4 linked regions of the Diceros bicornis minor genome follow. The protein of the gene in region 1 interacts with the protein of each later gene in a pairwise test. Links are inferred from orthologs where the notes say so. Each region holds a gene or a part of one and is shown in the gene's direction. Other genes may lie near its edges.

Evidence for each region.
Region 2: the proteins of keratin, type I cuticular Ha1 (region 1) and TMEM106C interact in binary tests that used the Homo sapiens proteins (3 or more experiments, as listed by UniProt). The two-hybrid records come from large-scale screens. The link is inferred for Diceros bicornis minor from reciprocal best matches to the Homo sapiens genes KRT31 and TMEM106C.
Region 3: the proteins of keratin, type I cuticular Ha1 (region 1) and FKBP1B interact in binary tests that used the Homo sapiens proteins (3 or more experiments, as listed by UniProt). The two-hybrid records come from large-scale screens. The link is inferred for Diceros bicornis minor from reciprocal best matches to the Homo sapiens genes KRT31 and FKBP1B.
Region 4: the proteins of keratin, type I cuticular Ha1 (region 1) and P2RX7 interact in binary tests that used the Homo sapiens proteins (3 or more experiments, as listed by UniProt). The two-hybrid records come from large-scale screens. The link is inferred for Diceros bicornis minor from reciprocal best matches to the Homo sapiens genes KRT31 and P2RX7.

Annotation. Positions count from the first base shown.
Region 1 is NC_080757.1:40,761,979-40,769,555, reverse strand, and holds the start of keratin, type I cuticular Ha1, read left to right. Parts: upstream 1-4,575; 5' UTR 4,576-4,581; coding exon 4,582-4,929; intron 4,930-5,133; coding exon 5,134-5,216; intron 5,217-5,551; coding exon 5,552-5,708; intron 5,709-6,502; coding exon 6,503-6,664; intron 6,665-6,758; coding exon 6,759-6,884; intron 6,885-7,053; coding exon 7,054-7,274; intron 7,275-7,577.
Region 2 is NC_080756.1:21,948,933-21,955,884, reverse strand, and holds the start of TMEM106C (transmembrane protein 106C), read left to right. Parts: upstream 1-3,946; 5' UTR 3,947-3,964; exon of another isoform or gene 3,965-4,083; intron 4,084-4,502; 5' UTR 4,503-4,530; coding exon 4,531-4,714; intron 4,715-5,925; coding exon 5,926-5,989; intron 5,990-6,488; coding exon 6,489-6,648; intron 6,649-6,739; coding exon 6,740-6,880; intron 6,881-6,952.
Region 3 is NC_080751.1:58,294,905-58,302,874, reverse strand, and holds the start of FKBP1B (peptidyl-prolyl cis-trans isomerase FKBP1B), read left to right. Parts: upstream 1-4,954; 5' UTR 4,955-5,069; coding exon 5,070-5,106; intron 5,107-7,970. UniProt on the Homo sapiens protein: Has the potential to contribute to the immunosuppressive and toxic effects of FK506 and rapamycin. PPIases accelerate the folding of proteins. It catalyzes the cis-trans isomerization of proline imidic peptide bonds in oligopeptides.
Region 4 is NC_080774.1:8,684,825-8,692,247, reverse strand, and holds the start of P2RX7 (P2X purinoceptor 7), read left to right. Parts: upstream 1-4,408; 5' UTR 4,409-4,476; coding exon 4,477-4,601; intron 4,602-7,423. UniProt on the Homo sapiens protein: ATP-gated nonselective transmembrane cation channel that requires high millimolar concentrations of ATP for activation. Upon ATP binding, it rapidly opens to allow the influx of small cations Na(+) and Ca(2+), and the K(+) efflux.

The DNA of each region.
Region 1 (7,577 bases):
AACAAGATGCCCATTTCGCAGGGGAGAGGTTCAGGGTTAGGGAGGTGAGTGACCTCCCCACCCCAAGGTCTCAAAGCTGGTCTCACTCACACCCAAGTCTTCTCATTCCTGATCCATTGTCCTTACCCTGCACCGAGCCACTAAGGGCTTTGCTGGAGGTACATCTGGATAAAAGTTCACATTCAGACCCACTCTCAAATGCTGGGGCGAGGTAGCTGAGGTGGGTTTTGCAGGGCAAAGTCTTCCAGGGCCTGGGAATCTCCCCAAGGATAAGCTTCCTGGTGCTTTCTCCCACCCTGCAGTGTCCTCTCCTTCCTAACCACATTGTGGACTCAGCTTCTGGCCTTTGGTTGTCTCCTGGCCTCCTTCAACTGAGGCTCCCCCTTTCTGCTGGTTTGTGTACCCAAATCTCCCTTGCCTCCCTTCCCCGTTCCTTCTCCCTGGTTCTCAGACATCCTAAATGTGTGCTTCCCTCATTCACATTGGCCTCCAAGGCTCTCCAACCAAATGCTCCACCCGGCAGTAGATCTCTCTCACCCCGAAGCAGAACTGTGTCTGCTCACCAGCAGTTTCACGCGTCACCTCCATTTCTCTCCACTAGTCTCTATTTCTATTTTTATCTCCTCTTTTACTTGCTTGATTTAGTACTGCCTCCTTTCTTTCTTCTGCCCCATACCACATCCCTGGAAGCCTCTTTCACCTGCTTTGAAACTTGTATGCCCACCGGTCCTATGGGGACGCTGCAGGGCTGAAGCCATGGGCAGTCACCACCTGTGGTCTCCAAAGCAATGAGAACCAAATACCAAAATAACCAGTTACCAGGGCTGTTGAAGAAAAGATTCTTAAAGGGATTAGGATTCTAATGAGATCAGTTGTTTGAATCCTACCTCTGAGTCACCTAGAGAGTGGAGTCACGAATAAATCTCCTTTGGGATGAAGATAAATAATCTGAAATGGCCTCACCCCTCATCTCCTGGCTGAGAATCAAGAATTGAGCTGAAATAGCCTGACTGGAGTTAGGGGCAGGAATAGCCGTGGGAAGAAGTGGGAGGGGGAAAGGAAGAAATTTTTAAGGGGTAAAGGGCCCAACTGTATTACCTTATGTCAGAGTCAGTTGTGGACCTGTCTGCTCAGCAGGACTGAGAGCTGGCAGAGGGCAGGGGCATGTCATCTCCCCACCATCCCACTCCCCACCGACCCCCTGTCCCCAGCCCTGGGACTATGTCAGGTGCTTGAAAGATGTTCAACCAATGACTGCTGCCCGTAGTATCATGTATGCAATCTTCTAATTACATTAAACACAAACATATTTCCAAACGTCCTCCTCACACCTTTCAAATATCTCACCTCCTTACCTTCTTGTTATTTCTCATATATTTGGGGGACCCATATATGAATTACTCATAAAAAGACACTCCACTGCCTGAACTATGATTCTTCTTTTCAATTTAGTCCCGTTCCCAGCGTGGAGAAGCTGCTCAATAAATATGTTTTGAATAAAATTGAGCTAAATAAAGAAAGTGGGTTTGATAGTTCCTTGACTGCTCAGTTTCTCTCCGAATGAATAAAGTTTGCAGATACTTCAATTAGGAGATCAAAAGACTACATGAAGTCTACCCCTAACCTGTGTGAGGTCATGGAGACCTCACAACGCCAGAGTCCCATTCTCCCCATTAATTCAAGAAGCAAATTCTCTCAAGCCTATTGATATTTTGAAAACACTGCAAGAAAGAGGCTAAATGGTGTGGCGGCATTATGTTTACTCACCAGCCAGTCTGTCTGCTCTCTCCATCCTGAATTCTTGTGCCATTTCACCATCTGCAGGGAAAAGAGGTATCTCCAGGAGAAATAGGCAGGTAACAGGGGTAACCCGTTCTTTCCCGCATCTTCTCTGTGGCTGCTGGTTGGCCGTGACCTGAAGCCAGTGCAGGTTTAATTCCGTCTGCTCCTTTCTTCCTTCCCCTCTCCACACTCCTTATTCCTTCAGAAACAGGTAGCCTTGCGCCTTTGACTTTACACTGCTGGGGTGTAGACCACAGTGCATTTCTCAGGCACGAACAAATCCCAGAGTGGATCGTGGAGGCGATGCTCTGGTCTGGACACCCTGGAACAACGTCACTGCTTTCGGAGGCCTCAGAAGGTGTGGTATTGTGTCTGTAGATCTTTTCCGAGTCACCTCCATTTATACCTCGCAGGACACTCAGCAGGGCGGCCCACTCTTCTGTCCATCAATTCAGGTTGCCTTGGCTGCTTTGCGTTCTCCAGGTTCACTCATTTGAAGACATACTAGCTTTGTCTGATCAGCTTGGCCCCAAGTGATTCTGACGATTCCCCCCAGGTTCCCTCCTTGCCTCTTCTTGATGTTCTTATCTCTTTTATGAAACACACCTCTTCCTGTTTCCGTCTCTCCCCATTTCTCTGATCTCTCTGCATTGTATGCAAATTCTACTTTTGCTGTCTCTCTCTCTCTCTCTCTCTCTCTCTCTCTCTCTCTCTCTCGTTGACCCATCTTTGAATCTTCTCTTATTTAGAATCTAAACATTCTGCTTTGACTAAAGCCTCCACAAGGCTACGCTGGCCAGTCAGTAGATGAGACCAAAGAGCTTGGAGAGTGCCACTGGCATTTAGCTCCTGCTCCTTCCTGGGTGGGGAGGAAGCCAGGACTGAGGAAACAGCTCCTTGCTGGAAAGCCAGTGCTTTAGAGCAGGCTGATAAGAGTTGGGGGCAGGAGTCCTGTGCTGTTCCCTACCAGTGAATGCTCCTCAGTCAGACTCACAGGCCTTTCCACATGTCCCCAGCCTGGACGAAGCGAGACTGGAGCTGCCTACTGACTGCCGCCACCTAGCCTTGTGCCCTTCCTCCGGAGAGTCTCGGTGATGCCTGCCAGAGGACCCACCCATTTCTCCCCCTTTAATTGCCGTGGAGGCAAACAAAGAAATTTTGATTTTATTATATGTCTGGGGCTTCTTTGTAGCACAGTGTGGCTTTTCATCTGGATGGCATTATAATAAGTGGTGATAATGGCCTTGGAGAGGGTAGATGAAGAGCGTACTGAGACTCAAGCAGAGCGTTGCATGAATACTATCATGAAAGCTCGATGGGGAGAAGGACTCCAATAAGATGTCAATAAAACTACTGCTATGGCTGGTGGCCAAAGCCACAGTGAGGTTGGGGCGCTGATACCTGAGACGCAGGTGGGACCCGGTGGTGCCTATAATTATGCAACTTTTATATATGCAGAACTTTGGCCACCCCTTCCTCAGACCTTCTCGTGCCTTCCTTCATCCCCCAAATCAATCCCAAATGACGCTAAGCTTGCCTTGCAAAATCCCCTGTTTACTCTGTGTCTCAGCATTTTCTGTCCTGGTGCCCAGGTCCTTGGATTCAATTACATGACCACAGAGACCTCCTTGGTACGTTTTCACCTTTGGTTCTCAAACCAGCTTGCACATAACCCAGCAAGGCTGAGAATGGGAAGCGCAGGACAGGATATGGTGCATCTTCTTGGTGTGTCAATTTCACCTTGAGAATTGGGCAAAACGTTAGAAAGTTTAACTGGAAACCTTAACGTGATTTTTCATTTTAAAGCCAACATGAGTATATTATGGAATATAAGGTCAATTCACGTGAAGTTTTAAGATCAGCTTCAAAGTTTTCATGCTTGAGGAGGCCCCTTGGGGCTATCTCCTGACTCTCCCGATTACCCGCGCACTCTGTTCTAATGCTATGGACACTTAGGTGAAAAATTTTGACAAGCACTTCCTTATTCCTTTCCCTCAGACCTGCCTCCAGATCCTTTTCCTAGGTAGTTTCAATGCATTTATATAGATCTCTCAGCTTGCATTTTTTCAGCTCTCTTTTGAAATGATCTCTTCCTCCAGAACTTTCCCTGTTCTCAAACTATTTATCAAAACCCCTACCTTTAAAATTTCTCTAAAATCTTTTTAAGTGATATACAGGAGGCATTACACAAACAACTGTCCATCCTTCTCAGCCACGGCCCAAGTCAATCCTTATCCACCTCAAGGCTTCCAAGGCTTGGGACGCTACATCATTGAAGGATCCTTCTCTCAAAGCAGATGGGAAGAGAGTCCACTGCTGCCCACTTAATGCAACTTCTTCCTTGACTCAGTCCCAGTCCCTCCCTAGAAATGCCAGGGGGCCAGGAGATGAGTTTGATCGTGGGTTTACAGGATCAGGTGGCACAAAGCAATGTCATTGGATGGACGAACTCCCAATTAACAAGGGCAGATCCTTGGGCTAGACTGTGTGGGCTCTTTGAAGGTCTACCACGAAACTCTGATTTCATGGGTGTACAGCCTCAAGAGGAGTCCTGACTTAGCAAGAAGCCCAAGTAAAGAATTTTATGGGACAGGGGACTCTTCTGAGGAAGGCATATAACAGACTTAAGGGAAGGGCGTTTGAAAGCCAGTGAAGAAGTAAAAAGAAAAAAGACATTAAATACCACGTCCACACCCTCTGTGGAGGGGGTATAAATGCTCCCCAGAGGCAGGAGGCCCACAAGCTCCTGGGACAACTTGGACTCTGTCTTCAGCTGAGACCCTTGCTCCCTCCAGCACCATGCCTTACAACTGCATCCTGCCCAACCTGAGCTGCCGCTCCAGCTTCTCTGCCCGGCCCTGCGTTCCCCCCAGCTGTCGCAGCTGCACCCTGCCCGGGGCCTGCAACATCCCCGCCAACATGGGCAGCTGCAGCTGGTTCTGCGAGGGCTCCTTCAATGGCAGTGAGAAGGAGACCATGCAGTTCCTGAACGACCGCCTGGCCAGCTACCTGGAGAAGGTGCGCCAGCTGGAGCGGGACAACGCGGAGCTGGAGAGCCGCATCCGGGAGCGGAGCCAGCAGCAGGAGCCGGAAGTGTGCCCCAACTACCAGTCCTACTTCCGCACCATCGAGGAGCTCCAGCAGAAGGTGAGGGGCCTTGCTGTCATCTGTAAGCAAGGGAAGTTTGCTATGACTCTCAATCTGTGATAGAGAACCGTGTTTCTTGCTTCTATGCCATCATGATTCTTGCTTCTCCTTTTTACCTTCAAAATAGCTTTTAAAGCCTTTTAAAAGAAGTTGATGGTTTCATACTTATTTTCAATCCTCGCTAAGCAACACCTCATTCCCCAGATCCTGTGCACCAAGTCTGAGAACGCAAGGCTGGTGGTGCAGATTGATAACGCCAAGCTGGCCGCGGATGACTTCAGAACCAAGTGAGTTGTTCAGAATTCACACTGGTGTCCACTCTTTTTTTTTAAATCTCTAGTTAAAGAAAAGGGATTTCCATAGTTTTACTGAACAACACTTCAATCTGTTGGTTGTGAAGGATCCTGCAGAGATGGAGAGGAACCAAGAAAAGGAATAAAAAATAGATGAGGACTCAAATCAATCTGTATTTTTGGATCAACATTTTGTCTTGATTGACTCTCCAGAATGCTCTGTCTATTCATTGCAGAAAGTGGGAAGACAAGGTGAATGGGGTTAGAAAAGGTCATTCCTGTGAGTCTCGAAGGTCTGCCATTACTGCTCTGACCCTATCCTTGTGCAGGTATGAGACGGAGCTGGGCTTGCGGCAGCTGGTGGAGTCAGACATCAACGGCCTGCGCAGGATCCTGGACGAGCTGACCCTGTGCAAGGCTGACCTGGAGGCCCAGGTAGAGTCCCTGAAGGAGGAGCTGCTCTGCCTCAAGAGGAACCATGAGGAGGTGAGACCAGAAATGAGAAATGAAGAAACCCGATTCAGTGTCAGGCTGAGGGTGGCTTTAGTCTTTGGAGTGGCAGAATCAGGAGTACCAGGCTGAAGGTGACTTTATAAATTTCCTTGAAAAACACCAAAACTTCATGATGAAAGAAAAATATTGAGAGATGAAACCTATCCTTGTTCCCAGATAAGATATATCTTTCATTCAAAACTGGTGTATCATTTGAGTTTCCCAGGGGACCTCCATCGGCTTGTGATTGGTTACTGAGTTGTAGACTGAGTCTCAGCATCAATCTAATCAGGCTGTGCAAAGTAATTTCTCTCCCCCAAAGACCAAAAAAATCAAGTCTGGTAAATCTGAGTCTCTTTCAAAGTCTTGGTGAAGAGTGATCTGAGGCTTCTTCTCTCACCTGGGTGGGGCCCTGACACGATCTTCTTACTTGATGGCAAGAATTGTTTGATATACAATATGAAATTGTACAGCCAATTCATTGTATTATGAGGTTATCTGCAGCCAGTCTGCAAATTAGGAAAGTTGAGTATTAGTCCGTCCTTCAGTGGCATCCATGCAAATCCTTGGGAATTTTGTTCTGAAGTCAAGTGTCATGGCACAGTCATGGTGTGGAGGGAGCTGGGTCACATGGAACGCAGACCACTTTGCCTTGAGTTGTCACAGATTGCTGCACTACAAGTTTCTTTTCTGAGAAAATAGACTAACAGGGCTTCAACAAGCAATGCCATTTCTTAGAGTCCACTCTTCATTAAGGATAGTCACTCTTGCACTTTCTGCATCCACAGGAAGTCAACACCCTGCGTAGCCAGCTTGGAGACCGCCTCAACATCGAGGTGGACGCGGCCCCCACCGTGGACCTGAACCGTGTGCTCAACGAGACCAGGAGTCAGTATGAGGCCCTGGTGGAGACCAACCGCAGGGACGTGGAGGAATGGTTCACCACCCAGGTGGGCATCTCAGCACGTGGTTGCTCAGGACCCGAGGCCCCGTGGGGCCCTTTAGGCAGGGTCTGATCCTGTCTTCTCCCCTGTGGTGTTTCAGACCGAGGAGCTGAACAGGCAGGTGGTGTCCAGCTCGGAGCAGCTGCAGTCCTACCAGGTGGAGATCGTCGAGCTGAGACGCACGGTCAACGCCCTGGAGGTGGAGCTGCAGGCCCAGCACAACCTGGTGGGTACTGTTCAGCCGTCCTGCTGAGAAATGTGAAGTCGAGGAATCGGAGTCACTGGGATGCCCTCTGGGCCACATTCTCCTAAATCTTGAAGCTGTGACTTCTTGGGAGCCCCATGGAGAAGCCCACTGAAGGAGCAGCTCTGTGACGTTCTTTATCCCCCCACAGAGAGACTCTCTGGAGAACACGCTGACGGAGACGGAGGCCCGCTACAGCGCCCAGCTGTCCCAGGTGCAGGGCCTGATCACCAGCGTGGAGTCCCAGCTGGCGGAGATCAGGAGTGACCTTGAGCGTCAGAACCAGGAGTACCAGGTGCTGCTGGACGTCCGGGCCCGGCTGGAGAGTGAGATCAACACGTACCGGGGCCTGCTGGAGAGTGAGGACTGCAAGTGAGTACCCAGCTGGAGGTAGCTAATGAAGCCCAACACACGTCGCACTACTTCTCAGTTGGACTCCAGCCAAAGATCGCATACCTTGGAAAGGAAATTATACCTTTACACCAGACATGCTCAAACAGGACTCAGAAAACACAACACAGCTGTCATTAAAAACATAAATTGGCAAGAATTGTTTGATGTCCAAACTGAAATTGTACAGCCAATTCTTTGCATTCTACCATGATAATATTGGTATGAGATCAATGATATTTCTTGCATTTTATAATACTGTATTGTGTAGAGGGTACGTTTCCA
Region 2 (6,952 bases), on another chromosome or scaffold:
CTGAGCCAGGTGAACGTAAGCCCCACCATCAGCCTCCTCTACGCCACTCAGGGAAGGAGCTGAGGAGACCCTGGCCTCGTGGACCCCCTTGGTTGACTGTAGCTTCAGGGGTCCCCTTCACCAGGTTGTGGTGGACTATCAGTTCCTTGGACACACAAGCCCCTGCACCCCCACCGCGTCTCCCCATCACAGGTGACTCTCTGAGCAGAGTTCTCTGCCTCCAATGCCATGGCGCAGCACACAGGTGTAGCCCCCGCCTAGACCCCTTTTGTATATACGCACCCGCTGTGCCTCTCCTCTTCCTAGAGCAGGTCTGTAAACGTCCTCCTGTGACCACTCTTCACAGCACAGAAAAGTACAGAGACAGGACTTGGGAGCAGAAAACCCACGATCTGGTTCTGACCTGATGCTAGAGCCCGGCCATCAGATTCCTGGGGTCTCAGTGCGAAATGGAAATAACAGCTGCTTCCCATCAAAAAAAGCACCGGGGGAGAGGCGATCCCTCTGCTGCTGTAAGACGATCCTCATGCAAGGGGCTGACTTCCCCCTCCCCCTTTAGAGAACTGGCCCTGGAACTTCAGAGGGTGGGACCGTTTCCTCTCTTTATCTCTGGCCCACACATGGGCCAGAGCTTTGCACACTGAGATCCCTGATTCACATTAGAATAAACACAGAATCGATTAAATAAAGAGGGTCGTGTGCCCCTTAAATCGCCCTGTGTGCCACAGCGGCCGCAGCGATGGGGTGAGTCCCGGCTCGGCCTCTGACTCTCCAAGCTCTCGCAAGTCCCCGCATTTCTTTGGAAAGTATACCGAACTAGGAACCGGCAGGTCTGGTTCCCGTTCCGATTCTTCCACTTCCTGGGTGTCATTTAACCTCGAGCAGGTTTTCCCAACTGTGGAACCAAGAAAGGGGCAGAATGAAGAGCACTTCCAATCTAAGCCCTCAGTCCTCCTGTCAGTGCAGAGGGAGGTTGCCGCAGTCCTATCCTGGGCAGGAGGGGGTGTGGGCAGAGCAGAGCTTGTCCCTGGCCTCCCCCAGCCCCTCGGAGTCTTTCAGGATGGTAGGCCTTCGCAGCCTCTGCTCCCCTCGGCCTGAGGGTCCAGGGGTACATAATGCATGTGGAGAATGGGAGGCTGAGAGTGCAGGGGTCCCCAGTCGGCCCCACCCTGTCCCGGCCCACCCGGAGAGCCCCAGTGAGCTCACGTCTGCAGTAACCCCACACTCATAACCAGGATGCTGAGACAAACCTGGAAGCCAGGCCCAGGTGAGGAGCGATGCGTGTCTCCTTAGGAATGTGCTGCCCAATTAAAACTGCCTTCCGGATGGAGGGATGGAGGGCTCGGGCGGATGCTGGGACGAGTTCCCCACACAGCGCTGGCTGGCCTCCAGGCTGAGTTGTTCCACAGGCATTTATTGAGGGTCTACTATGCACCAGGCCTGGAGCTGGGTGTGGGGAGACGAGGAGGAATAAGAGCCACACTGGAGAGTGCAGTCTACTGTCCCAGACACAGCTTGGGAAGCAGACTGTCAGAAAGCCTCAAGGGTTCTGCTGGGTAAGCCCCCAGGCCCCTTTACAGTCCCCAGCAGTTGAAGCCCTGCCTTCTCCTCACCACAGCCCTTAGCCCTTAGCCCCTTTCCCTTCCTTTTCAAAGCACCCACAGCCCTCAGCCTGCCTCTGGCCTCCTCGTCCTGTTAAGCTGGAGCGAATCAGGCTGCCACCTCCTCACCTTCTCTGCTTCTGGGACAGCCTGGACAACCCTCTGTCCTGTCCATCTGTAGTGTAGACATTAGCTTAAAGCACTTTGTCCTTGGCAGGGTTCCAGTAGGGGCCACAAAGTGAGGTGACACCCCTGTGACTAAAGGATGGGCTCATTCCCCAGATTCCCCAGGTGACTTCCCTGTCAGAAGTGGGTCCTCAGACAAGACAGCTGAACTTGGAAGTCAGGCCTCAGACAGGCAAGAGGCCTCCCCCTCTCTAAGGGCACGTGCCCTAAGGGCAGACGTTAGAAGAGGGTAGAAACCTAAGTGTGGCCTACACAGTGTGGGTTAAAGCAGTCAGACTGGTTGTGTGAAAATCCAGGCTTTCTCCTTAGCTAGCTCTGTCTATATCTTTTAGGATTGCACCCCACTGTGAGAAAGAGACACTCAAAAAAACCCACATTTTTGGGGGGGTGGTTATTTTTCTCAGGTAATGAGAAGTCAGAGGCTAGGGCTTGAATGTGGCTCCAAATGCCATCAGAGACCCAGGCTCCCTTTTTCCTTCTACCCAGCCTTCCTTAGCATAGACTTCTTGCCTCATGGGCACAAGATGGCTGCCCCATCTCCAACAACAAGTCTAAATTCCAAACAAGAAGAGGAAGGTCAAAGCACCAAGTCTCTATCCCTTTTAAGGAGCTTTCCTGGAAGTCCCATACAACCTCTGCTTACATCTCATTGGCTCGAACTGTCTTCCATGGCAAGAAAGGCTGGGAAGTGTATTTTTAATTGAGCATATTGCTGCCCCCAACGAAATCAGATTTGTATAACTAAGGAATATAAACCGGTACAGAACTTGTAAGGAGAGAGGTGAAGACCAGATTTCAGGAAGGAGAAGGTGTGGGCTGGAGATGGTAAAAGAGGAGCAATGGCTCCCTGTTGCTTCTGATAAAGATTCTTTGCTTGACCAAACTTTAGTCAGGCTGCTGAACCTTCTCCGAGGCCCATCTGTGCACTTCCTTGTAAAATCCAGTTTTAGCAAGAACTCCCAACTCTCGATATCTGATCATCACCCTCCATATCTGATTGGGTTCCTCATCCACCACCATCCCCCAGGTGACATCTGATCACCCTGGCCTGTCTTCAACAAGAATCCTGTTAGGTCGGTTTAGCCAGAATTCCCCTCACCCGTGAAGTTCCCTCTTAGTAATTTTCCATCCACTGACCCTCACCCTGCTCCTGGGCTATAAATTCCCACTTGCTCATGCTGTATTTAGAGTTGAGCCCAATCTCTCTCTCCCACTGCAAGATCCCATTGCTGTGGTCCCTACAACTATCAACATGGCCCCTCTTGAACAAAGTCTGCCTTACTGTCTTCAACAAGTGTCATTCAATATTTTTTTGTTCAACCCTTCTTACTCTAAAGGCTCCGAGGGCTGATTGCGACCAGCAGTGGGGCAGATGGCTAGACAGCTGCTGGGGCACCAGCCTTCCCCACAGAATGAGGAGAGAGATATGGAGGTGGCAGGGACCTCGGAGGTCGCCAGCCTCACTCTGCTCTGCCAGGCAGGCCCCTCACTCACCCAGTTAAGAATCTCTCCTCTCCCCCAGCATCGTCTTTAGTAACTTCACCTGCTTAGTCTGCCGCACTTCCTTCTGCTGCAGGCGAAGCTCAACCCGGCAGCATCGAAGAAACCCACCCTTTTAAAAGTGTTCTCTAATCCCTTACGTGCATGCCTTTTGTGTGTGTGTGTGTGTGTGTGTGTGTGTGTGTGTGTGTGTGTGTGTGTGGAGGGCTGGGGAGGGGGAGGCCTTAAAGCAGGATGAGGGCAGGTTCTGTCTTCACCATCTTTGTATCAGCGTCTACACACCCCCTGGGCTCAAATAATAGTTGAGAACGGCTTCGGCCGCCGGCAGCATCTTCCCACCCCGCCCCCCTCCACCCCCACTTCGGCAGAGAGACATTCTACTTCGGAAACTTGACTGGAGCCTTTCCCAGCGTTTTCGGGGCAGCGCGAAGTACCACCCTCTCTCCCAAGTCCTCCTCCCACAAGCAGCGCGGGCCCCCGTCCTCCTCTGCTCTCTGCCGCCCTCTACCTGCGCAGACAGCCGGGCCGCGAAGAGCGCAGGCGCCAGCGCACGCCGGCGTGTCCTGCCCCCACCCCCTCCCCACCCCCCACCCCCTCCCCACCCCCCACCCCACCCCCGGCCAGTCTGCCATTCGGCGCGTGCGCATGGAGTGCGTGCAGCTCCGAGGACTGAAGAGGCAGGTAAACCCGCCGAAGCGGACAGGTGGTGGGGGTCGCGGCCCGGAGAGGAGCTGCCGGGAGTTCGCGCCCTGCAGGTCCGGGGAGTGCGGCGTTCGCTTCCGCTTGGGCGACTCTGGTGGGCTCCGAGCGTCGCTTTTTGCCGGGGGGCGTGACCTGAGTCCGCCTCCCGGGGCTGGGAGTGGAGGGGGATGGGGCTCTCCCTAAGGCCTGTTAACAGTTTGGTGCATATTCTTTGTTCAGGACGGTTCTCTTGAGGAGAGCACAGAGTTTGCAAATAGTTGACAGGAAGGGGCGAGGCTGGGCAGGTTGGCGAAAGCGGGCCCGGTTCTTCCCGCTCTGTATAGGGGGTAGGAGGGGGTGGGGAGCACTGCTACAAAACGAGGGCCCTGGTAGAAATTGTGCAGGTGTTTGGGATCACACGCAGGACGGCAATTTGGTCATTATTGTGTTTTCAGTTTTCTCATAGGAAGATGCAGTTTCTTCTCTTGGCGCAGTGTGGCCACTAACGCCCTGGCTTGCCTCTTTGCATCCTAGGACATGACACAAGTGGCACATACCGGACATGGGGTCCCAGCATTCCGCCTTTGCTCACCCCTCTTCCTGCAGGCGAAAGAAAGATGACAGGGAGGATTTGCTGGCTGAACGGGAGCAGGAAGAAGCCATCGCTCAGTTCCCATATGTGGAGTTCACCGGTCGAGACAGCATCACCTGTCTCACATGCCAGGGGACAGGCTACATTCCAACAGGTGAGAGTCTCTGGCGATCGTGGGAAGGACGATTCCCCAGTGAGAATCTCAGGGTACCCACAGGGCTTCTCCTGTCTTCTAGACAGAGCTTTTCTCCTAGGCAGTAATACCATAGTCACAGACCATGCCCTGAACAGGAGCGGGCTCAGCTGACTTGGTAAACTTGGGCAGGTTCCACAACTTCTCTTGGTTTCCTTATATTTGAAAGCCTTTCTTTTCTTCACTTCTGCTCTTTTGTTCTTTGTTGCCTTGGCTTGGGACATTTGGTTTGCTCTATGTTGTGGGATTTGTTGACAGGCGCATTTGTTCATTGTTCTCACTCATAAGGCCTGGCACAGCTTTGTGGGGTTGGGGACCATCTTGGAAGCGTCTTTTCAAGGAAACGGATAGTGAATCTTTAACAACCTAAGGTCTGAAAAATATATCAAGTGGGAAGAGAAAAACAACTGCTCAGGAGTGGAGCCTGGATTAGGTGCAGGATCATCTGTCACTAAGTTGGCCCTCGGAAAGTCTTAACAGTTTAGATGGAGAGTCACAGAGGTTTATCGCTGGTAAGCACCTTAGAAACCATCTGCTCTGAAGCCTTCATATTACAGATGAGGAGATAGTGCCCTAGAGAGGTAATGACTTGCCCGAGGCCATGCAGTAACGCCAGAACAAGATCCTAGATTTCTCAACTTCCTTGTCACTGCTCTGGCAGGTGATTTGTGGCACTCTCTATAGATTTACTTGTTCCTTGTTCATTAGACCCAAAATATGAAACTAGTATCTTAGAAATGCCTAATTCCAGGGCCGGCCCCGTGGCTTAATGGTTAAGTGCGCGCGCTCCGCTACTGGCGGCCCGGGTTCGGATCCCAGGCGCGCACTGATGCACTGCTTCTCTGGCCATGCTGAGGCCGCGTCCCACATACAGCAACTAGAATGATGTGCAACTATGACATACAACTATCTACTGGGGCTTTGGGGAAAAAAAAGGATGATGATTGGCAATAGATGTTAGCTCAGAGCCGGTCTTCCTCAGCAAAAAGAGGAGGATTAGCATGGATGTTAGCTCAGGGCTGACCTTCATCATAAAAAAAAAAAAAAAAAAAAAAAGAAATGGCTAATTCCAGACACATGTATGTTGTGGAATGCTGATGTGCCATCTGAAGGGAAGTACTGCCAACACATGGGATTTATTTTACCAAAATAATTGTTTGGTTCTTTTCTAGAGCAAGTAAATGAGTTAGTGGCTTTGATCCCACACAGTGATCAGAGATTGCGCCCTCGGAGAACGTGAGTTGCCTGCCTCTCTCCTGTTAATACCTACTTCTGTCCCTAGTCTCTTTTTATACGTACAAATGTCCGTTAACCTTGTGAAAACTTTATCTATTCTTGTAAATCCCCCATTTCCTTTAATACTGTTTGCTCAAGCAAGATAGCTCTGCCCTCATCACAATCTGGGGAAGGAAACTTGAAGCTAGAAGCATTCTGAGGTGGAGGCCAAGTGAGGGAATTGAATTGGAAGGAATTGGAGAAGAGGGGTGTCCTGGGAGGTGAAGAGATGTTTCTGTCCACACAGCTCCTCTCTTCAGCTTCTCTTGCCAGATCGCAAAAAGTGTTCAAATGGGTTCAAAAGGCTTCCCCCACTCAACTCACTCTGCCTGGTTTGTGGTTCCTGGCTCTTTTTACTTTCCTGTCCCTCCCCCCTCCTTCCTGGTTTTGCACTTAATCTTGACTGATTGGACCTTGATGTCCAACTACCTGAGTCAGTTATATGCTGTGTCATTTGCAGTAAGCAGTATGTCCTCCTGTCTGTCTTGCTGTGTCTCCTGGCATCTGGTTTGGTGGTTTTCTTCCTATTTCCGCATTCGGTCCTTGTGGATGATGACGGCATCAAAGTGGTGAAAGTCACGTTCAATAAACAGGACTCACTGGTAGTCCTCTCCATCACGGTAAGACTTCTGGCCGCCCTTCCCGGGCTGTGCAGCTGCAAGTCTCGGACCCAGGACACTTACGCTTGTTTCTGCACTTGCCCTGATCCAGGCCACCCTGAAAATCAGGAACTCCAACTTCTACTCCGTGGCGGTGACCAGCCTGGCCAGCCAGGTTCAGTACATGAACACAGTGGTCGGGTCATACGTGACGACAAACGTCTCCCTCATTCCACCGCGGAGCGAGCACCTGGTATGCTGTTCCTTTAGGATCCTTGCCCCACAGCCCTCAGAGAAGGGAGTGTGGGGATGCCGTAGCCTTGTT
Region 3 (7,970 bases), on another chromosome or scaffold:
ATACACACCAAATTGTTCATGGTGGACACTGAAATGAGGTGGGACCCTCTTTACTTATTTACTTATTTTTTGAAAAAATTGTTTTTATAAGCATGTATTCAAAAAGTCCTTTTGTTAACTGCAAGAAAACAGAGATTTAAATGTAAAAAATACTTACTTTATAAAGAGCTCTTATAAACCAGTTAAAAAGACAAACACCCTAAATTTAAAAATGGCCAAAGAACATCAACAGGCAATTTACAAAATAATACGATGATCAATAAACATATTTAAATTGATATTTAATCTTATTAGCTATCAAAGAATTGTCTAAACTTGCAGTGTCCATTTCTTCACCACTCTGTTCTTAAGCTACTCCAAATTGACTCCATTCCTCTCTCTTTTCTAAAACAGCTCTCACCAAGCCACTAGTGCCATCCATGTCACTGAATCCAATGGACGTTTTTCAATCCTGTTTTACTGAGTAGTACAGGACTTGAGAAGTCACCTTCAGATCCTAAATCCAAAGAAATGTATTCTCTACCAAACTGCCTGGTGATTTGCTTTTAACTTACCTGCAATTTTTTTCTCCTACTTTGCTAGCTTTGTCCTGGCTCTTAGAATCTTTTACTAAGAAGGAACGGTCTGTTATGCTTCTACACATGATGTCAGATTAAGTGGTTCTGCAGTGGCTTGCTAAAGGGAGAAATAAGTCCCCTGTCATTAGTAATGAAGAAAACTGCCATCTCTAACCCACTGCTCTTACATAAGATAATATGTTTTCCCCTAATATCTACTTATGCACTTTTAAAAGACTTTTATTGATAAATAATGCATGATACATTTTCCTGGCAAAGAAAATTCCTAATGGGCCAATTATATCAAAGCCAATTCATATGATATGTTTTAGGCAACCCAAGTCAGTCTAATGTTATTGAGGGTGTGTGTGGCCAGGGGTAACACAAGGTAAGGATTTGTGAATGAGGGAAAAACAAACATGATATGGTTACTGAGATTTTTAGAAGAATTAATTTCAATATTTTCATCTTTAGTAACAAGAAGAAATCTGGCCTATTTTTCTCAAAAACCTAACAATATTTCAAAAATCTGTGCCAATCCTTTCTACTCCATTGCTAGTCCAGGTCCTAACCACCTCTCCCTTTCAGTAGGGTAGGACAAGGAGAGGGCCTCTTGATACCAGTCTCTTCTTTCTCACAGAGCCCGGATGCTGTGTGTGGTTACAGAATTATCTTTAAATAAAATCACAGCTCTGGTCATTTTGCTCTTCTGCTCAGTTACCTTTTAATGAGTCTCCACAGTCTACATATCTAAAAGAAATTCTTTGGGCCGGCTCCGTGGCTTAGCGGTTAAGTGCGCGTGCTCTGATGCTGGCGGCCCGGGGTTCGGATCCCGGGCACGCCCCAAGGCACCACTTCTCCGTCTAACCCGAGGCCGAATCCCACGTACAGCAACTAGAAGGATGTGAACCTATGACATACAACTATCTACTGGGGCTTTGGGGGGAAAAAATGAATAAATAAAATCTTAAAAAAAAAAAAATAAAATAAATAAAATAAATTCTTTCAAAATGTCTTAGCAAGGCATTTAAAGCCTTATATTATCTGATATTGATATACCTTTCCAACCTTATCTCTTTAATCATAAAGGGCCTGCTGGGGAACTTGAAAGAACCAGCACACATTCACATGACAACGTGCAGGATGGATCCGAGAAAGAAGAAAGCTGACAACTTTAGTAAGGGGCCATGAAAGTTTGAATGTCACAATGAGAAAGTGAGCCAAGTTTGTAGCTACTTAGTAGAGAAAAAGGGTCAGATGCAAGAGAGATTTCTAAGGCAGATGGAAAAGATAATGACATAAGGTAGGATGTGAGTGGTGTGGAAGAAAGGAGAATTAAGGATAACATGCAAATTTTTTCTTGTGAAATTGTTGAACCATTATTCAGAGATACAGAAGGCAGAACAAGCTTCAAAAGTACGAAGGGTATGTAGCGTGTGATAAATTTAATATTAGATGTGCTTCATTTAAGATGTCTATAGGGTAGCAATGTACCTTCGACAGTCAGAGGTTAAGGATTTGGGAGTCACTGTCCTAGAGTTGGTAGTTAAAGCCGAAGCAGTAGACAGCCTTGCTGTGATCGATCAGAGAGCCAAGCAGACAAAGGCTGACCTTCAACAGTTCCCCACTTATTCTGTATCTTTTAAAATATTTAAATTTTGCCTGAAGCTAACTATATACCTGTTCGTCTCTTAACTCTCAGACTACAAGACTTCTGAAATCAGGAGCCTTTGGTGTTTTAAGGGGAGAAAAGCCCACTGTATTAGTTCAGGGGAGAGGTGGTCAGAACCAGGACCTGGAGCTCGGTCTATGACCATTTAATTTATCTGTTTTTAATCTTCTTTAAAGACACTCGGTGAGAATTGAGGGGACTAGGGGAACTGGAGCACTTCCACTAGGTTGAAACAGAAGTACCTACCCCTCAACTTGTTTTTCTAAGTTTACTGTGTATCCACTATAAAATAATTTCAAGTTCTTTACACTTATTTAAAAAAAAATTAACACACAAGAAAGGTAAAAAGTTAATTCACACACAAAAAATTCATCCAAACAAAATCATGACATTTCTCCACTTTTTTCTACGCAGTTTTAAACTTTTTCAATCATAACTGCACAATTCGTATCACGATTTTTTCACTTAACGTTATATATTAGCATCTTCCCATGTTATTCAAAAATTTTAAAAATTATTTTTAGAAAGCCACTTAATATTCACTTAATGAAGCTGCACAATTTTTCCTCACTGTTGATACACCTGGTCGTAGCCAACTTTATCCTATTATAAATAACGCTGTGATAAAGGTCTTTATGTAGAAAGCATTTTCTTCATTTTGGAGGGCTTCCTTAGCATATGTTCCCTGAAGCGCCACTCACGAGTCACAGGGACAGATTTATTGGTTTAAACCCACCCCTGGCTCGTCGGCATCCGCCAGCCCTCGCACGCGGGCCCCTCATCCTTCTCCTCACACCTGGGTGTCTTCCACCCTGCCCCCAAGTGCTGGTCCCTCCACCTCCCTCCCCGCCAACCCACAGCCTCCCCACACCCGCCAGGACGGGCAGCAGTGGAAACAAAATACCTTTGGTCTCACTGCCCCACAGAAAATCACCCTCCAAGGGGCCGAGCTGGATCAACAACCGCGGACCCAAAGCCCTGAGAGAGTATCGGAAGCATTCGCTCCCAGGCCTCTGATAGGTGACCTGTGGCCGGGCAAGCTCGGCAATGCCCCCTGTCTATTGGCTTTTGCTTGTGTCACGTTAGGAGATGGTCCTTCCTACTGGCCAATAAGCTCGGGCTTTGCCGCACGGATCTCTGGGAGTTGTAGTCTCCCTGAACATCCCCCCCCCCACCCCCGCCTCCCCGGCGCGACTGTAAACCAGCTACAAGTTCTCCCTCTCTTAGGAGATTCATCGCCTTCCCCCACTTCTCACCAGTTTTCTTAGTCTAAGAAGGAGTCCAGGAGCCCTAGCGTCAACACGGTTTCTTAACCTTTTTTGGGGCGGGGGGGATGGGGGAGAGAGGGCAGGGTAATCGAAGGAGTTGAGGACCTCTTTAAAATATGATAAAATCCCCCCAGAAAAATGTTCTTATCCATACACAAGATATTGTGCATTCAACTGGAGCTGCTCCATGGACCTGTCCCAGTTACAAACCCCTGTTCTACACTTACCCCAAAAGTGCCTGCCTATGGCCATAGTCCAAGGAGCTAGTGCGTCAGTAGGCTTTAGACCAGCTACACTCCTGGGAGTCTCTGGGCCATTCCGTGCAGCAACCTATGGGGAATTTCAGATCCTGACCCTCTTCGTACAGTTGACCACCATCTTTCTTGAATAACAGCCAGTCCTCCTTCAGCGATGCTGATAACCGGAACTCTCACCTAACCACCTGGACGAGTGGAGAAATGGAGGAAGAACTCCTCTAGGGCCCAGTCTGGACGCCTTTGCCCAGGCTTTTCTCCCCGTGCCTATCTTCCAGGGCCATTTGTCAGGATCATATCTTCACATCAATTTTCGGAACAATGCAGGGAAGAATGAGAAGAAAAAAAAAGAATAATTTTAAAGTCCCATTCATTCTTCAAGCAAATGTTACCTCCTTCAAAGATAACTTTCCAGATTCCTGGATCTCTTGGGCGGAGGTAATGGGTCTGGCTTGGAGGAGGAACTCAAGATAGAACTCATTCATTCATCCCACAGCACGAATCACTCCACGCTGTAACTGCTGTGTCCCCATCCGTCACAGATTTAGTTCTTTGAGGACGGCGATTCTGTCTTAATTCAATTGGTATCCCCAGGGCGCAGTTCTTTGCCTCGAAAACTCACCTGTGCGTGGGGCGGAACTACGCAAGATAGTGAATAGGGGTTTAGGGTGGCTGAGGGAGGGTAAGCAAAGACTAGTTTCCTCCCTTCCATCTCTCCACCCCACCCCACCGCTACCCCCATCTTGCTCCTACAGACCCGGGCAGCCTGGCTGGGGTAGGTGCCTCTCTGGTGCTTCCATAACGTTCTGAACTCCATGGTAGTGAGCGCATCTAATTAAAGTGTTGGTTTAGTTGCCGGCCTTTTCCTAGTCTGTGGGACTGGGTTGACTCCCCAGAGCTTAGCAAAGAGTAGGTGCTAGATAAATATGTTTTGAACGGATGGATAGATGAATGGATGGCTAGATGGATGAATGGATAGATGGGTGGGCGGATGCGCGACTTTCTTCATGCTTCGCTCACCATCCTCCCCACTCAGTGGGTTAATATCGTGACAGCCTGGCGAAGCTCGGGAGCAGCCGCGTCAGGGTCCCTTCCCCGGGGCCCCGCCCCGGCCGACCCCACCTTTCCGCGCCGCTCCGCCCCGCCGCCCCCTTCCCCGTCGCCCCTCCCCGCGCAGGTCCCGACTCCAGCCGCACCTCCTCCGGCTCTGCAGTGGCGGCGGAGAGGCGAGCCGGAGCGCCAGCGGGGCCAGGGCCGGAGCCGAGCCGGGGTCGGGGCAGCAGCGGGGACCCTCGGAGGCGGGGCCAGTGGGACTGCGATGGGCGTGGAGATCGAGACCATCTCCCCGGGAGACGGTACCGGGCGGTAGAGCCGGGGGAGGAGGAAGGGTCCCGGGGCGGAGCCGGGCGGGCGGGGGTCTCATCCTGAGGTGGCGCGGGGGGGTGCCGAATGGGGGGGCGCATAGGATGGGGGCGGCAGGAGGAGACCCCAGACGGAATTGTTGAGGGTCTAGCCGACGATCCTCCGCCATCCCTTTCCGCTCCCGCTCACCCAGGGCAACGAAGGCGGCGGCCAGGAGGCGGGGGTCTGCGGCCCGCCACCTTCCCGGGGCCCTTGCGTCGCCGCTGCCGCGGCTGGAACCGCTCGGTTATCCGCTACTGCTGATTTCCCCGGGCTGGGTTTTAGCTCCGCTTTCCCTGCCCTGCTGGGTGAGCTCTGGAAACAGGGGAAAGGTCATGCTTTGGGGTCTCGGCTGCTCGGGGCAACCCTTCTAAACCTCTCTGGTCGGGCGGCCCCCTGTGGGCTGGGCGATGAGACGGTGTAGGGACCGAGCCTACTGGGAAGGGAGTCTGGGAAGGGAGTCTGGGAGGGAGTCTGGGAAGGGAGAAGCGCTCCCTCCACCGGCTCTGCATCTTGCTTTATCTTCCCTGCCCGACTCTGTCTCTCCGGCCATCCTGTACGCTCCCATGGCTTTCATTATCCTCTGCAAACCAATGGCCTCCAAACTTAAGCCTCCAGCCCAAACCTCTGACCTGAGTTCATGGTGGTGCATTTATCCAGCTGCTGCTTGACCTCTACCTGGATGTCCCACGGATACCTCCAAGTCAGCAAGTCCAAAACAGAACTCATGTTCCTCATCTTCCCCACTCTGGAGTGCTCCTCTGTGTTCCCTGTTCCCTGTTCCCTGCCTCTAGGACTGGCGCTGCTCCCTTTCCCAAGCCAGAAATCCCTTGTATAATTGGGTCTGGGTGTCCAAGGAATAACCATTTCTTTATTTCTTAAATAAAACCTAATTCAGGCTGGAGCCCCCATTTCTGCAGGATTTGACAGGCAAACTTCATGTCAGACAGTATTGACTACTCCTACCCTCCCCAGAAAATTGGAGGGCCTCTTGGTTCCAGGCCACCCTCCTTGTTGAATGGCAGTGGTCCCTTGACATCCCAGCCCCTACCCAGATTACCTGTGAGGTACAGGCTTCTTTATCCACACTGGGAACCACGTGGTGCTGGGTCCCAGTAAGCATCTCTCTGAGGCCTTGTCAGCCCCCAGGGCATGGCCATAGAGTTCTGCCAGGGGGCTGAGGCCTCTTCTCCCTTCCCTGGCTCAAAGAAGCCTTTAGAGTTTTTTCCTGTTATCCTCCCTCCCTGGCCAGGGACAAGGGGCATTTTCCCTTGAGAGGGATTCGATTTCTAGGGAAAGCCTGAAGGAGCTTTGGCCTTCTGCTTTTAGCCCAGTCTAAACCTTTGAGTCAAGGAAGCACAAAAGGACCGGGCTACCTCCTGTTACCCAGGAGGGGGATATACAAGTGACCACTGCCATGCTGGGGATGTCCATCTTGGTTGGGCCCCACACCAAGTCCTGTCAAGTCCTCCTGCTTAACATCTCTGGGCTCCATCCCTCAGCCCCTGCCCTAGTTCAGGCCATCATCACCTCTCACTTGGATTTCTGCACAGCCTCTAAACTGGTCTCCCCACCTCCAGTCTCACCTCCTTGCCTTCAGTGTGGCCTCCCTACCTCGCCACATATTTCCTACACCACAGCCTGAGGATTCTTTAAAATGCATATTTGACCATGTTCCCCACCACTACTATAAAATGTTTCAATTAATCTTCCATCTCCTTCTCCAGGCAGATGGTGATATAGCCTATTCTTACCCTCTATACTAGAGCCTCATCTCTCACTACCAGTTCCTACCCCCACTACCAACTTTTTCTCCAGCATTTTAGCAAGCTGCCTGCAAGTTGTTAAACACACTAGTCATTCAGCAAATATTTATTGGACATGTACTGTGTGCGAGGCCCTAGGGTTACAGCAGTGAACCGGACTGGGCTTCCTCTATTGCTTGACTCTAGGCCTTTGAACATGTTGTTCACTCTTCCCAGATTATCTCCCTTTACTTCCTCCGACAAACTACTCATCTTTTAAGACCCAGTTTAACCATTATCTCCTCTCTGATGCTTTCCCTGATATCCACAGTCAGTCAGTTGCTCTCTGCTCCAGGCTCCCATAGAGTCCTCTAAACGTTGGCTCGGTTGTTAGTCCTCCTAAGGCTTGGTTATCCAGCCCCATGGCTTTAAATTCCACCCAAATTTATACCTCCATTGCAGACTCTCCATCTGCCTACTTGCAATATAAACTCAGATGCCTAATATGCATCTCAAGATTGCCACCCGCACAAATCTGTTCTTCCCCATCTCAGGAATTAGCTCCATCATCCATCCAGTTGCCCAAACTGAAAACCCAACCATTGTGCTTGATTTCTCCTTCTCCCTCATCCTGCACCCCATCTCCACTCAATTAGCATACCCTGTCAGCTCCGCTTCCAAAATATATCTCCAATCTGTTTTGCTCTCTTCTCTGCTGCCACCACGTTAATTCAAGCCATCATTGATTTCCTGTCTGGATTATTGCAATTGGCGCCTAACTGTCCATCCTACACACTGCAGCCAGAGTGATCTTATAACGTCTTAATTCAGATTATGTCATTCTCTTGCTTAAAACCCTCCAGTGGCTTCCTATTGCACTTAGAATTAAATCCAGCTCTGCAAGGCCCTGCATGATCTGACTCTTTCCCACTCATCTCCTCCTCCCTCCCTTCTTTCCAGTTACCTGCAAATACACCGATCCTTTCCTGCCTCAAGGTTTGTGCACTTGCTGCTCCCTCTTCCTGCAGTGCTTTTCCTAGCATTTTGCTCATCCTTCAAGTTTCACCTCAAAC
Region 4 (7,423 bases), on another chromosome or scaffold:
ACAGGATTTAGTGCTTCTTCAGCTGCTGTGGACACAATCAAATAATTTTTCTTCTTGGAGCTGTTAGTTAGTTGAATTATTTCAGTATATCCCTAAACACTGAACTATTCTTGCATCCGTTAAAAAGCCAACTTGGTCAAAATAAAAGAAAGTCACTAATTTTCTGACCTGTAACCAGAAACACACACACACACATACCCTTGTGTACGAGAAACTCACCCAAGCCCCCTAGTCCTCCTCCATCATGACCTGGCTTCCTACTTCACAAACAGAGAGCACCAAACTTGACGTTTCACTTTGAACATCTTTGAATGGCTCAAATGTTTCCATCCTAACTACCCCTCCTATCTTCCCTTGACGCTGTCTCCCATTAAAAACCACTCTTACCTCTCGCGCCTCATAGCCAAGCTTGCAGGAAAAGTAGTCCATATCTGCTGTCTCCACTCTCCCCCTCTCATTAGTTGCTCCTGACTCACACTATTATTTTGTGGGAAGGTGTTTCATTTTGAAGATGTGATTTGAAGTGTCTGTGGGATATTTAAATCTGGAGGTTCATAGACTGTACAGGTGTGGAGATCTGAAGGCAGGTTTGGTCTGGAGATATAGATTTTTTAAATCTATCAGTGATTTAAAAAAATAATCATGCATACGGAAGAGAAAACTTCATAGAAAGGTGATAAGTTTCTTGAAAAACATTTACTGTTTCCCCAGTTCCTGCCCCAGAGACCATCTTGTATATCTTTCCAGACACAGCCAGCTTCATGGACATGGGACCTGTGCAGTCACATAGGGACCCGAGCTTAGAAGGAAACTGAGCTTGGTTAAATGCTCTGCTGTCACCATGTTGAAATTCTTCATTTTTGAATAAGGGACCCCACATTTTCTTTTTTTTCTTTTTGGTGAGGAAGATTGTCCCTGAGCTAACATCTATGCCAATTTTCCTGTATTTTATATGTGGGACACCACCACAGCATGGCTTGAGGAGTGGTGTGTAGGTCTACACCTGGGATCTGAACCTGCAAACCCTGGGCCACTGAACCAGAGTGTGCAAACTTAACCACTATGTCACCAGGCCGGCCCCACCTCACATTTTCATTTTGCACTGGGCCCCACAAATTATGTAGTAGGTCCTGTTTCCAGCTATATTCCATGCAGAGTTAAACACATAATACACATAAACACGTGCCCCTCCTCCCACCCCCTTTTCTTTCAGCATTTGGTAATTCTTAAAACAATGTATGTAGATGAAATTTCCCAGGGAGAAGACGCAAAAGTCGTAAGTGTTGTTCACCAAATATTTCTGCTGCTTCTGTTTCTGAGGACATGGGGGATACATGGTGGGATTGCATTTCATGGTTCCCTAGTGGTTGGATGGGGCCAAGTGACTAGTTTTGACCAATGAGTTAGGACCAATGAGTGCATCATTTCTAGGTCAGAGCACTTAGTCACTGCTGTGAGACCTTCCAGATTTCTCATTAAAGAGTTCAAGATAGTGGCTGTCCATTAGTCTTGGTCTCTGAATGACTACAATAAGCAGAGCCTTCTGAGTGTCTTATGATGGGCATTTAGTGTAGATGAGAAATAAATTGTCATTGTTTTAAGCCATATGATTTGGGGGTTATTTGTTATTGCAGCATAATCTGTCCTATCCTGACAGAAATACAAAAAATTCTGAGGCAGAATTCGCTGGGACTGACATTTAAGGGGAGAAGAGAGCCATAGAAAGAAAAGACAAAGATTCGTAGAGGTAAAAATGAGAAACCAGGAGAAGATGTGACCCACAGGAGTCATGGAAATCAAGGGAAGAAACTTCTCCAAGAAGTAGAGACTGGTCAATGGTGTTAAATGCGTCCAAGAGGTCAAGTAAAATAAGGAATAAAATATATCCACTAAATCCAGCAACTGAGAATTCATTGGTAAGCTTGTTGAGGACAGTATCCGTGGAGTGGTGGTAGTGGGGAAAGAGTGGACGGAGGGCTGAGGAGGTGGAGAGGGAAGAGCCTGAGGGATCAGTGTAAGAGTTTAGCACAAAGACTGGGAGGAAGTATATGTCTTTGAGTGGTGGCAAGGGGAATACTGAAGTGATCTGCCTATTCTGGACATTCCCTATAAATGGAATCATACAATGTGTGGCCTTTTGTGTCTGGCTTCTTTCACTTAGCATAATCTTTTCAAAGTTCATCTATGTTGTAGTAGGTATCAGTACTTCATTCCTTTTTATTGCTGAATAATATTCCAATGGATGGATATGCTACATTTTGTTTATCCATTCATCTGTTGATGGACATTTGGGTTGTCTGCCTGTTCACTTCTACATCCACTAGTGACTGGTGCTTTTGGGAATGAATAGCTGTCCAAGGTCACAGAGGTGGTAAGATGGGACATCAGAAACCAGGCAATTAGTCCCTCAGCACCGATGTTCTAACCATGAGGCTTTACTGCCCTGTAGATCTCTTCTTTGATCCACATGAAGATTACTATATCACTCAGAGTGCTGGTAGGAAAGCGATGGTGTACTCCAGTGGGGTAACTAACGAAGGAACCATTTACAAAGGTGCTGGCAGTGTTAAGAAAAAGTAATAAAAGTGGCCGGCCTGGTGGCGCAAGTGGTTAAGTGCGCACGCTCCGCTGCAGTGGCCCGGGGTTCGCCAGTTCGGATCCCAGGCGTGCACCGACGCACTGCTTGGCAAGCCATGCTCTGGCGGCATCCCATATAAGCAGTGCTTGGCAAGCCATGCTCTGGCGGCATCCCATATAAAGCGGAGGAAGATGGGCATGGATGTTAGCCCAGGGCCAGTCTTCCTCAGCAAAAAGAGGAGGATTGGCAGATTTTAGGTCAGGGCTGATCTTCCTCACAAAAAAAAAAAATAAAGAAAAAGAAAAAGTAATAAAGGATGATGAGCTGCCAGGACTGGCAACAGCAGGGAGCTCTTACTACCCCGAGGCCTGAAGGAGGGATTGGTGCTCAGAAGCCCTGCCATGTGCAGCTGGGAGGAGAGGAGCCAGGAATATTCACATCCAACCTCACTGTCTTCCTATTCTCCAGTCTCCTGAACTGGGAGCCAGAAGGTAAGGGAGCCCCTGACGCAGCTCACATGGGTGAGAAAGTCAAATTTAGCTTAAACTGGAAAAGTAAAAAATGGAAAAGTAAAGAAATGGATAAAGTCCACCACAAAGAGAACAGGAAAAAATATTGCTCTGTAGCTGTAAAATGATAATATCCCCCATTTTTTCTAAAATGATAATACCCCCCATCTTTTGAGTGAGAGACTGTTGCTTTCTTACTTACCGAGAAATGTTGTCCTCTAAAATCAAAGTCTATCAGAAACTTTGCTATTTGAAATTGCATCAGTAAGAATGAAATATTCCATTTTTGCCTGGAGGACCCAAGTCACCTTCACACAGAGAAGCAGCTTCGATCTGCACCTAAGGTGCAGAGCTTCAGATAAAGGGATTCTGGACGCAATATTCAACATCTATTATAGTTTTATTGCTTCCAAGGAAACAAGGCCCTGGATCCTCTTTGCTGTTCAGATCTGAAGCTGACTGTTTTATACAAACGTGCTTTGCTTTGAACCTATCAAAACTGGGTTTCATTTAAATTTAATCTAAACTCCACCATCCCCCAGAATCCTCTGATAACTCTGTCCCTTTGTTTGATGATGCCCCACAGCTCCTCTGGGCGCGTGCTCTCTCTCACTGAATGGGTCAATAAACCTAATCTTGTTGGACGGCAAGTTTGTTTCTGGCCGTCTTAGGCTGATTGGCCTAGGTCATGGGTGGTCCTCCTGAGACACAGAATAGGGCGGAGAGTGGACCTAGCAGGTCACGCAGGAAACATCCGGCATAGAAATAAAGTCCTCCTCTCCTCCCACCCCCCAGCAAATCTGATTCCCCCACCATCTCCAGACCTGGGTGTTGTGAGGAAGTCAGGGGAGGGAGGAGAGAAAGAAACCTTCATTCACTCAGTGTTCATATACAGCTGGGTCTGAATAAAGGGTTGTAGAAATGAATCAATCAATCTCTTGAGTGGGGCTTGAGGCAATGGAAAAATCTAGGCCCTTTACTAAGGCACGAGGGAAGCACTGGGTCTCCTGACATTTGAAGGGCTGCCCCTTTCCCCCAACTGAAATGAGTCCAAAAAAGTGAAAGGAAAAAGGGGATAGGCAGAATTCTAAAAATGCCCTTCCTTTGAACACCATCTTTGTGCAGGCATCCGGGGGAGGCCAGCTGGGGCGGGGTCATCTGCCAGGCAGGACTGTAAGACTTGGCTTTTCTTGTTTATCTCCAGCCACTTCTGGAGCGGTTGCCAGGGCCCGCCCCCACTCTGCTGTCATTGGAGGAGCTCAAACTTAAAAGGCTCCTGCTAAGAATCAAGTCGTTTCATTTCCTTCTTACTGGTGGTCCTGCTGTGGCCCTTGTGTGAGGGTTGAGCCCTGGTCCAGCCCCCAGTGAGCAGAGAGCGAGCATTTCACCATGGCAGCCTGCTGCAGCTGGAGTGATGTTTTCCAGTATGAAACAAACAAAGTCACCCGGATCCAGAGCATGAATTATGGCACCATTAAGTGGATCTGCCACCTGATCGTCTTTTCCTACGTTATGTAAGTGGGGTGTGGGGATGACCCCAAATCTCTGTAGTGGTTGACAGCACAGAAAATCCCAAGGTGCAGCTTCTGGTGCACATCTTGAATTTCCACGTGGTTTTAAAATCTGAGATGTGCATTTCACAGCAAGCTGGGGGTGAGCTGCGGGGGGAGGAAGCACTAGGCGGGAGGAAGCAGCGCCAGTCTGCTGCAGAGAGAAGTCACGGGAGGTGAGTGTGACACTTTGGGTTCTACTCCAGGCCTGCTGGGGCAAGCCAGGCAGGGCGTGTCTGGGGAAAGTGGGAAATGCAGGGCAACCCTGGATTCCCAGGAAGGAGGCGAGGATTCAGGGCACGCCCGGTGATAATGCTGGCATCTCTCTGAGTCATCACTGCTTAGGGGAAGGAATAGGACCAGGCTTGTAAATGTAACTTTAGGTCCTCTTCAACGGCAAGAAGGCTCCCCTTGCTCTTTTTTCCCCCCAACAGCTTATTAAGACATAATCCGCATACTATACCACTTACCCATTTAAACTGTACAATTTAGTGGTTTTTATTATATTCACAGAGTTGTGCAATCATCACCACAATTTTAGAACATTTTCATCACCTCAAAAAGAAACCCCACATCTCTTAGCCATCGCTCCCAATCCTCTTATTCCCCTGCAACTCCAGGTACCCACTGATCTCCTTTCTGTCTCTATGGATTTGCTTATTCTAGATATTTCATATAAATGGAGTCATGCAATATGTGGTCCTTTGTGACTGGCTCCTTCCACTTAGCATCATGTTTTCAAGGTTTATCCATGTTGGAACATGTATCTCTACTTAATTCCTTTTTATGGCTGAGTAATATTCCATTGCATGGATATAACACTTTTGGGTGGACATTTGAGTTGTTTCCAACTTTCTGCTATTATGAATAATTGTGCTATGAACATTCATGTACACATTTTTGCATGAACATGTTTTCAGCTGTCTTGGGTATGTACCTACGAGTGGAATTGGTGGATCATTTGGTAACTCTATTTTCAACCCTTTGAGGAACCATCCAACTGTTTCTCACAGCAGCTGCACCATTTCATACTCCCACCAGCAATGTATGTTCCAATTTCTCCACATGCTCACCAACACTTGTGATTGTCTGTCTTTTGGATTATAAGCATCCTGTGAGTTGTGAAGTGGTATCCCATTGTGGTTTTGGTTCACATTTCCCTAGTGGCTAATGCCCCCTTGCTCTTTGTGATGATGGTGATGATGATAACTTGCATCTATGTAGGAAGACAGCATAGTTTACTAGCTAAGGGTTAGAGCAACCTATTCTATCATCCTGGCTAAGCTTCCTTGGCCAAGTCACTTAACCTCTCTGAACCTCAGTTTCTGCATCTGTTCATAGAGTTGTTGTGTGATAATCAAACAAGAAAAGGCATGAAGAGCCCTTATCGATGCCTGGCATAGGGTAAGAGCTCCATAAATGGTAGCTATTTTTTAAAATAATCTTTTTTAATGTAATAGGTACTTTTGTATACATCCTCTCTTTTGACCATCAGAGTAACCACACCCAAGCTTGTGATTTGAGATCTGCAAACATGGATTCAAAAATTCTTTACCTCTTTGAGCCTTGGTTTCCTCATCTATAAAATGATAAATATTTTTCTTTCATATGGTGAAGTCTTATCTTATTTTACATGCGTTCAATGCCCTCAAATTCAGTTACACATGTTCCACGGGAGCATGGAGCGAAAACGCCATTTAAACAGTGCAATGATTCAGTGATTGGGCTCTGGAGTAAGTGTGAGATGGATGCTTTTGAGTTGGGATTCCCTCGGTCAGTCTCTGTTCTCACATGCTTCTCACCAAGTGAGCATCCTGCCGCCCTACCTGTGAATCTAGATACAGATTTTCCACCCAACATATCCCTTAAAATAAGCCAACTCCTTCACTTTCACCTGGAGCAAAACTGGAAAAACAGAAACTTGTTCCAGAGCTGGAGGAAAAATTGGGTCTGATGAAATCACTGAGAGGTGGAAGGTCTGTTTGCTATGCTTTGTGGAAAATTTAAGGGTTTACCAAAGGCAATTTTGACGAGGCACAATTTTTATCTTAAGTGCTGACTTTAGAAGATAACCCCCATGTAAAATGCTTCTTCATTGTTTATATCTTAAAATATAAAATTGAAGAAAAAATATTGCTAACTTTGCTTTTTTCTTCTGTGTTAATGGAAAATCTATTTACATCTCACTGAATGGAGTCCCATGGAACACAGCTTGGGAAGTGCTGCCTTAAGTTGTACTGTGAGGTCTCATGTTGATGTAAGCGCAACTTGGCCACCTGTGAAATGGGTAGACCCACAATTAGCATCAAATAGGACTGGTATGGACCATAGGTGGAAGTCTAGACTAAGATAATATTCAGGATATACGGCAGCAGGTGATGGGTCTGGCCATGGGGTTCTGGGTTCAGATTTGTCCATTCTAGGGCTGAAAAGGCAGAGATCCAGGATCATCAAGTGAGATAGGGCCTCAGTTATTGAAACTGGGGTACAAGACAGGGACTGGCAATAGAGGAAGTAAGACAAGAGGCTGATTGGCTTCTCATAGTCCCTCACAACCAAGTTCAGATCTGGAGCTAAAGGCAGGGGAGGCAGCTACAGGTGGGGTCAAGTGGCTCCAGCTTCCAGGGTGGCAGAAGTGTATGGACAGGATGCTGAATAGTCTGTGTTAGTCAGAATTGTTTGGATAGTAAGTGACAGAAACCTAACTCAAGTTAGCCACCAAACCACACAGGGAATTCATTGCCAAGTAACTGGGCAGTGGAAGAGATCAGACATGGATGGTTATA